Linked DNA regions of Sus scrofa. The protein of the gene in region 2 purifies or fractionates together with the protein of the main gene of each other region. This does not show direct contact. Links are inferred from orthologs where the notes say so. Each region holds a gene or a part of one and is shown on either strand. Other genes may lie near its edges.

Region 1 (3,806 bases), about 47 Mb from region 2:
GGAGTAAGAACTTATTTGGATGGAGAAATTTTGCCTAGGCTCAAGTCTTCCTAGATTCCTCATTTCCCTCATGTCATATCCAAGCAGTCCTCAAAGTCCAAAAACTTGAACTTCTACATACCTAATATCTCCTATCAAGTCTGTCCTTCCGATTTCAACTTTGTATCCATTGCCTCTTGTCCTAAGTCAAGCCTCTCTTGCCTTGACTTTGATAACAGCCTTTGCCAGCTATGAATAAACTAACAAAAAGCACTTCACAGACGTGTGTACCTCCCTCCCGCCAGCCGTCCTGGATGGCAAAGATGTCTTATTCATATTTATCTCCAGTGTCCAGTGCTGGGCTAGGCACAGCATAGGTCTTCGGATATTTGATGAACTGAAAAGAGGTTCTCCTCAAACAGGCTCTACCCTCCTGGAAGAGAAGAGCCCCATCTTGGCTTTTTTTTTTTTTTTTGTCTTTTTGCTATTTCTTAGGCCGCTCCCGCAGCATATGGAGATTCCCAAACTAGGGGTCGAATCAGAGCTGTAGCCACCGGCCTACACCAGAGCCACAGCAATGCAGGATCCGAGCCGCGTCTGCAACCTACACCACAGCTCACGGCAACGCCGGATCGGCAACCCACTGAGCAAGGGCAGGGACCGAACCCGCAACCTCATGGTTCCTAGTCGGATTCGTTAACCACTGCGCCACGACGGGAACTCCAGCCCCATCTTGGGATTCTGTGATTCCCCCACACAACTTAAAGCAGAACCAGACAGGAAATGTACGATCAAGTCCCAGAAACTTGGCCTTCCCAAGGGATATGTTTCTTTCTAATGTAGTTTCAAACTGCCCTGTTTGAGTCCCACTTTTACCCAGTAGTCAATAAATCATGTTGCACAAAAGATAACATGTATTATGACTTTTCCACTTTTCTTCCAAATCTAGGAATTTTATACTCTCATACTCTCACATCTTTGTTAAAGATGTCAAGAGATAATTCTCCATTTTACAAATAAGAAACTGAGGCACAAAATGAAATCCCTTAATTACTGTGTGATGGAGTTAGGAGCTTTGCCTTTCCCTGAGCCATAGCACAGTTCTGGAATTGGAAGCTATTCTCATCTCCTACCCCTGCAAAACTGCTGGTTGGTACCCCGGCGTTCCCGAGGTTCTCCCCCACAATTACAAGCTTCTTTGGGTAGCAGGGTGTGTTGCCACAGGTCAAAGACCATGTTCTCTCTCTCTTCTAATTACCACTCTCCTCAGTGCCTGGAGAAGACAGACTCCACTCCTTGGGCCCAGGAAAAAGAGAAGCACCTTGATCATTAGCCTGGGAGGTCAAGTAAGGCCAAGAGTCACAACCAGCAAGAAGGGAGAGAGAGATCTAAGTAGGCAAGAATAGTTTCAATGGGAAAAAAGAGAGAGGAGCCACCATTAAGAAAATTAGGACACTCCTTTTGAACGGTTTCCAGCCGGGGTGTACCTGGAGAAGAGGCAGCAGTGGCGGCAGCAGTGCTGTACCCCCAGAGTCATTTCTTCAAGGCACCCAGGCTCTTCAGGGCCTCCTGGGCCTGCGTCAGCTGCTGCTGTAGCCTCTGGCGGGTGCTCTCATTGGAGGCCCGCTTCAAAAGGCCCTGCATTTCTTCCACCACTGCTCGGTGGCCAGGGGCGTTGTGGAAGAGCCGCACCGCCCGGTCCCCGCAGGAGGCCAGAAACCGGCCAGTGATGTCAAAGGACAAGTCAGTGATACACTCTCCATGGACCTGCTCAAAGCGCTCCTCCTCCTCACCCCTCCGGGTACTGTACAGATGAATACTGGTGCCACAGGCCAAGGCCAAGACTTGGGAGTCAGGGGAGAGTGCCAGGCGACACGGCATGGTGCTCGCTTCTTGAAAGCGGCCTGTCCTCAGCAAGTAGGGGTCCTGTTGCTTCTTGTACTCCACATCTGTGTCCCACAGTTTCCAGGTACCATCCTTGGAGACAGAGGCCATCCTGCAGCACAGAAAGTCACAGCTGTAGCCCCAACACTCCCCGAAGGGAGGCCACTGGGACAGCACTAGGGAATCCACTCGTCAGGAAGCCAGCTCCACCACTCTAGCTATTTCCTGCTGAGAGCCAGGCACCCCACCTGCTTCAGAGCTGCTGCAGGGAATGGCACAAGGATCCTGGTTGTCAAGCGGGGCTGGGAGCCGTTGCTAAGAAATCAGAGAGGGTTCACTCACCTCCGGGAGTCATTGGAGAAAGCGAAGAAGTGGACAGCTGCAGAGTGGCCCTTCAGTTCAAAAGCTCGAACAACTTCCTGAAAGTCCCCTTTTTTCCCAAAGCAGACTTCCCAAACTTTTACATCTGGGGTGAAGCCACACGAGGCCACAAACCTGCCAAAAAACCCAGTTTCCTTTAAAACAATTTCAAGGGCAGCTTTTTCTGCAAAGCCACCAAAACTTTTTCCTGAAAAAGTTAATAATCTTGTATCTAAATAACACCATCTTTAAACTTTTATACGTGACCTCAGTTCCTCCTCATGGCCATGCTGTAAGATACACAGTACGCCCACCCAAACTCTTTAAAAACTATGGATGAAGAAAAAGACTAAGGTCTTGAATCTAGGTTTCCTGATTCCACAGGTTTTGCTCTTCCCCCCGCCCTTTTTTGGCCAAACCCACAGCCTAAGGAAGTTCCCAGGCCAGGGACAGAATCTGAATGGTATCTGCGACCTACGCACACACTGGATCCTTAACCCACTGCACTAGGCTGGGCTTGAGCCAGCAACGCCACAGAGACAAGCCGGATCACTAACCCACGGTGCCAAAGCAGGAATTCCTCCTCCTGCTCTATCCCTGGCCCCCAGCCCCAACCTCTGCCCATCCCTGAGGCCAAGGGCCCCCCTTCCTCACCTGCTACAGGGGGATATAGCCGCATACGTATTATTCATCTGGTTGGTGTTGATGGTGGACAGCACCTGACCTTTCAGATTCCAGATGAGGATGGTCGTGTCACTGGAAGCAGTCATGATGAACTTCCCTGAGGAGAGAGGGGCGGCACGTGCGCTGAGGTCAATGACCAGATCAACTGTCATTCTCCAAAGAGACACTTATGAAGGCCTCTGCGGCCCAAAGTTTCCATCCTCCCCTCCTGAGCCAAGGGTTGCCACAGATAAGGATCTGGCTGAGGAGGGCGGCTATTCTTACCTGTCTCCTCGGGGGACTTGCAGCGACTCCCAGGACTCCAGGGGAGCCCAGAGCCAGAGCCCCTTCTGTCACCCTGGGGCTGAGCAAAACTCTCGGCTACTATTCAGTGATTGAGTAAGTGTAACTGGGTCTCTTTCCTCTTGCCTTGGGCAAGCTCCATCCCCTGAGCGCCTCTCACCTGTGTCGGCAATGCCAATGTTGACAATGGAAGCTTTGTGCTTTTTAGGAAAGTCCTCTGGGGTGGCTGTGAAAGTATAACCTCCGTCCTCTCGCTTAGTCATCTTGAAGACACGGAGGGTGTCTCCATTCGCCAGCCAGACGATGAAAGCTCTAGAGACAGAGAGCAGACAAGTCTCTCACTTGTTTGGATACAGAGACCTGTGTGTGCCAGGCCTGTGCTAGGCGGACTCTGAGCAAAGTCAGGATCTCCCTTGAGGACCTTAGTCCAGCCTCACAACTTAACCCCTTGGTTCCAAATCACTTAAAACTCTTTACAAGGTAAGACTCTCGTATCTCTGGCTCCTTCAACCATCTCTCTAGGTTTTAGAAAACCATTAGAGTTTCTAAGACTAATCTGGAAGCGAGGCTTTGGTACTTCCCAAGTAGGAACAGATCTTCCCCCTCTGCTTCTTTGC
Region 2 (4,327 bases):
AACCTCTGGCAATCTGAGTAACCCTCTAGTGCTTTATTTTATTATTATCATTATTATTATTTGCTGCCCCGAGGTATATGGATATATGCAAGTTTTTGGGCCAGGGATCAGATCCAAGGCCTAATGCGACCTGCCTGGCAGCTGTGGCAACACCGGATCCTCAACCCCACTGCGGGGCGGGGGATAGAACCCTCATCCCAGCGCTCAAGATACTGATCCCCTTGCGCCACAGCAGGAACTCCAACCCTCTAGGGCTTTAAATTCTTTATGTGTGTTCATCCCAAATCCCTCATCTTCTCAGGCCTTACCCCACACCTCCAACCCAGACAGCTGTCTTTCTGTCTCCTTTGCTGGCTCATCATCCCTGAAACATAAGGCATTTCCGGCAGCTTTTATCACCAGCCTTCTCTTCCCCTGTTTCAGCCATTTACCCTGATGTCTCTCCAACCGAAGTCACTCCTTTCCTACCTAACCTCTCCCTCTGGATGGCCTGCCAGTGCCTCCGAGACACCATGCCGACACGGAAGCCCTTGCCTTTTACTCCCTGCTCCCCTAAATCTCCCCAGGTTTCCCCATGTGCTCTCACCTCTCTAGCCACCCCACCCCCACCCCCGCCACCTTCAGATGGCAGTGCCAATGGAGGAGGAATCAATTAATTGACCAAGAACCAAGATTCTGCCAGTCTCTCAAATTTACCCGCTGTGTTCCTTATCCGCTTGTCAGGACACCTCTCATCTGCACTGCACTGCTGTAACAGTCTCCTTTGGCACCCTTCCCTCAAATTTAGCATTTGTTGTCCTCTACACAATGCTTCTCAAACTGTAAGGTGAATCCATGCTGACCTTGTTAAACTACAGATGCTCATTCAGTGGGTCTGCCTGGTACCTGATTCTGGATTCCTAACGGGTTCCCAGGTGATGACAATGTCAGCAAGCCTAAGGCTGCATATACACAACATGGCCCCAACCTAGTTTTATAGCCTTGTCTTCTACATGCATGTCTGTCTGTATCTTACACACACACACACACCCCCCATGTTCCCTAAACATACTTTCCAGTTTCTTGCTGTTTCCTCAAGTTCACTATCTGCCCAATACAATTCTACCCACTTTTCAGCAAACAACTCATTCTGCCACAACCTCTTCTTATCTGCTCTCCTACCTCACCCAGGTACCCCACCCATAGAACACCACATATACCTTCGGACACTGATGGCATTTAATTTGTATGGCTTCTGCCCTGTAATGTCATTACAGATCTCTTCATTTAATGCTCACTGCTGGACTGCACACTCCCCTGGGGGGGAGGGACTCTCCGCCTAACCTCTGTATCCCCAGGGCATTGAGGGCCCTTTTCAGGGCCAAGAAGCACCTGCTGCAGTGGTTGTGGCGTCTAAGAAAAACGACACATCTTGCTTCATTTTACCTTAACTCACTTTGACCAAGTGCTTCAGAAGTTTCTTTAAAACAAAAACAGTCTTCCTGGATAGCTATTTCATTAGCAAAACCTATGGAAAGTTTGTCAAACATCTGCCAGTGCAAAAACATCTATATATAAACATTCAAGTGGTGCCTCCAGAATGTGAATTGTCAAAATTCATGAACATGACCAGAGCGCTTAAGCATTAGTTAGTGGTATTCAAGAATTATCCGGAGTGTGTATTAAATTTGCAGATTCCAGGTTCTTATCCTGGGAATGTCTAATTCAGTAAATCTGGGATGGAACACAGAAAACTGTAGTTAACCAGCATCCCTAAGTGGTTCTGATGCAGGCGTTCTGCAGATCCCAATTAAGAAAAATTCTGACCTCAACCCTGGTCCGTGGGCAGTACAAGGGTGTGTTTAAAACGGAAATGTTGAAATCTCTTTGTGAAGTCCTTTCCCCAAACAGCTGTCACCCAAGCACAGACATAACGTAATTCACGAAAGAAAAAAAGAGGCTGTTAGTTTCTTGGAGTATGAATATAGCTCGAAAACAATGCAAGAGGTAAACGATGTTTTTTTTCCCACCTCGCGCTCCCTTCTCCGAGCATCCCCCAGGCGCCTTCCAGGATGCTGCTCGCTCCCGCGAGCAAGGATCGGGTGCCGGGGAGCGGAGGGATGCCCGCCACTGGTCCAGGAGATGGGAAAGCATTCCCGCGCTCGCCCCCTGGACACCAGCTGTCCTCAGCTAGCTAGAGGAACCGGCGGAGTGGGGACAGCCGGCCCCCCAATCCTCCGCGGCGCACGCGCATAAATAAGTCGCCTCCCCGGGTCTGCGGTCCCGGCGCTCAGCCCGTGCCCCTCACCTGCCGAACGGCCGAAGGTCAGGATCGTCGTCGGGTTCCGGATCCCGTGGCTCCTGCTCGCCCGCGGCCGCCGGTAGCGCCTCGGCGTCCTCCACTGTCACCTCGGCTGCAGTCACGGCGCCGGAAGCCGGCACCCGCGCGGCCGAGGTGGGAGCGGCCGCGGCCCCCAGGCCGAACGCCGCCTTCGAGGTCGGTGTCGGGAGCTCCGAGGCGCGCCGCGCGACCACCGTTCCGGTCGAGAGCCCCAGTAGCAGCAGCAACAGTAACAGCGCCCGCGCCAGCGACCCCGGGCGGGTGGCGCGCTCCATCAGCGGCCCGCTCTGCGCGCGGGCATGGAGATGCAGCCCCGACGCCCGCTTCTGCTGTCTCTCGGAGCCCCCGACCAAGACGAGGAAGCGCTAAGGTCCCTGCCGCCGCCCGGACGGTCTGGACCGCCAGCTGCGTTCTCCCGGCCACGTCTTAGCCCGGCCTCCGCCACCGCCACCTGACTGACAGCCTCCCTCGGACATCGCCCATTGAACACACTTTCCGCGCATCTGCTCTCCAATTGGCTGCGGCCACTGCCACTCTGGGCAGCCAGGCTAGTCCTGTTGGAGAAGGTGGGTTTTCTGAGGTTGTCAACATCGCGCCTACCAATTAACTTGTACTGCCTTAGCCCGAGGCTCGGCCTTCTTCCGGACTCAGTTACCAATGAGAAACGCCACTCCCTGCAGTCTTCTTATCTGATTGGTGAGTTCCCCAGTTCCCAGAATACCTTTCCCCGAAGCAGATTAGCTAGCTTGGTGGTTAGCCTCGCCCCCCCACAGCAAGGCGCTAGAGAAGACTTGAAGATCATTGGTGGAAGCGGATGCCCCTCAAAAGTCCAGCTAACTACTTCTTGATTGGTTGGAAGCGGCACTTAATACGTGGCGGATTCTGACTGTGGAGAGCACGGTCCCAAGTGAAAGGAAGAGTGGGAGGCGAGTCCCTGGTGGCGGGGAGGCGGCCGACCTTCAAGGAGTTACGCTGTGGCTCTGCTAAGCTTGATCTGTTTAGAAAGGCAAAAGAAGAGCAAGAAAAATAAGTGACTGCACGAGACGTGTAGTTTCTAGAAGTAGAAGGGGTGACTCGAGTTGGGGAGAGGATCCTGCTTGTGTTCGCGATAGCGCTGAAAACAAGGCTTGTAAGAGATGCCAGTGACCTACAGTGATCAGTGATCTAGTCTACCGGACACATCCCTTCCTCATTGTAAAGAAGGAGCCCGGCCCCGGTGCACTTACGTCATTTGTCTAAATGCACAGCAAGCTATTTACAGAACCATGACTTTAGTCCAAGATTCTGATCTGGTCTGCCTTGCTCTGTACCTGAGCAAGAGATAAAACCGCAAAAGGCCAAACTGGAGAAGATTTGAATGTTCAGCTAAAGCTTCGGAACTTTTTATCCAGCAGTTAAGGACGCCTTGAAGACTTTTGAGCAGATGAGTGAAGAGATAAGGGTTGTGGTTTAGAAAGATGAATTCCTCAGCAGTTTTCAAAAGAAGAGCATCAAAGATGAAGAGACTAGTTGGGAGGCTAGAGCTAGGAGGCAATGGCCCCATCACAATTCTGAAGTTTTTTTTTTTTTTTTTGAAGATGCTGGCATACAAACATGCTCTTAAATTCTTCTTCCCAAAAGGAAAATGAGCAAAAACTCCACTTCGTAGCACGTTCCATTGTTCTTCAGTACAATAAATCTCTAACTCTTTGTCTTCCATTCCTCTTCTGTCCTTGTCAGACATGTTAAAGTCAGGCTGTTGTGCCCACAACTCCACCAAAACTGCTCTTGCTGAGGCCACCACTGCTGAATTCAAAAGACAAATTCTCTTGTCTTCATTTTATCAGCTATAGTTAAGCAAGTACACCAGGCTTTCCTGTATAAAACACTTTTCGCTGGTTTTCCTGATTCCATGTAGGCCAAATCATAACCCTCATTACTGCCTCATTTTAACTTAATCTCCTCTTTAAAAGGCTTCTCTCCAAATAAGGTTACATTCGAAGTTACTGGGGGTAAGTTACTGGGGGT

What was found.
Region 1: the proteins of EIF2AK3 (region 2) and TBL2 purify together in Homo sapiens (affinity purification with western blotting; 3 studies listed by BioGRID). This does not show direct contact. The link is inferred for Sus scrofa from reciprocal best matches to the Homo sapiens genes EIF2AK3 and TBL2.

The regions. Positions count from the first base shown.
Region 1 is NC_010445.4:10,885,895-10,889,700, forward strand, and holds part of TBL2 (transducin beta-like protein 2), read right to left. Parts: intron 3,502-3,806; coding exon 3,350-3,501; intron 3,005-3,349; coding exon 2,878-3,004; intron 2,359-2,877; coding exon 2,206-2,358; intron 1,976-2,205; coding exon 1,513-1,975; coding exon of another isoform or gene 1,467-1,512; exon of another isoform or gene 1-1,466.
Region 2 is NC_010445.4:57,422,483-57,426,809, reverse strand, and holds the start of EIF2AK3 (eukaryotic translation initiation factor 2-alpha kinase 3), read right to left. Parts: upstream 2,917-4,327; 5' UTR 2,596-2,916; coding exon 2,288-2,595; intron 1-2,287. UniProt on the Homo sapiens protein: Metabolic-stress sensing protein kinase that phosphorylates the alpha subunit of eukaryotic translation initiation factor 2 (EIF2S1/eIF-2-alpha) in response to various stress, such as unfolded protein response (UPR).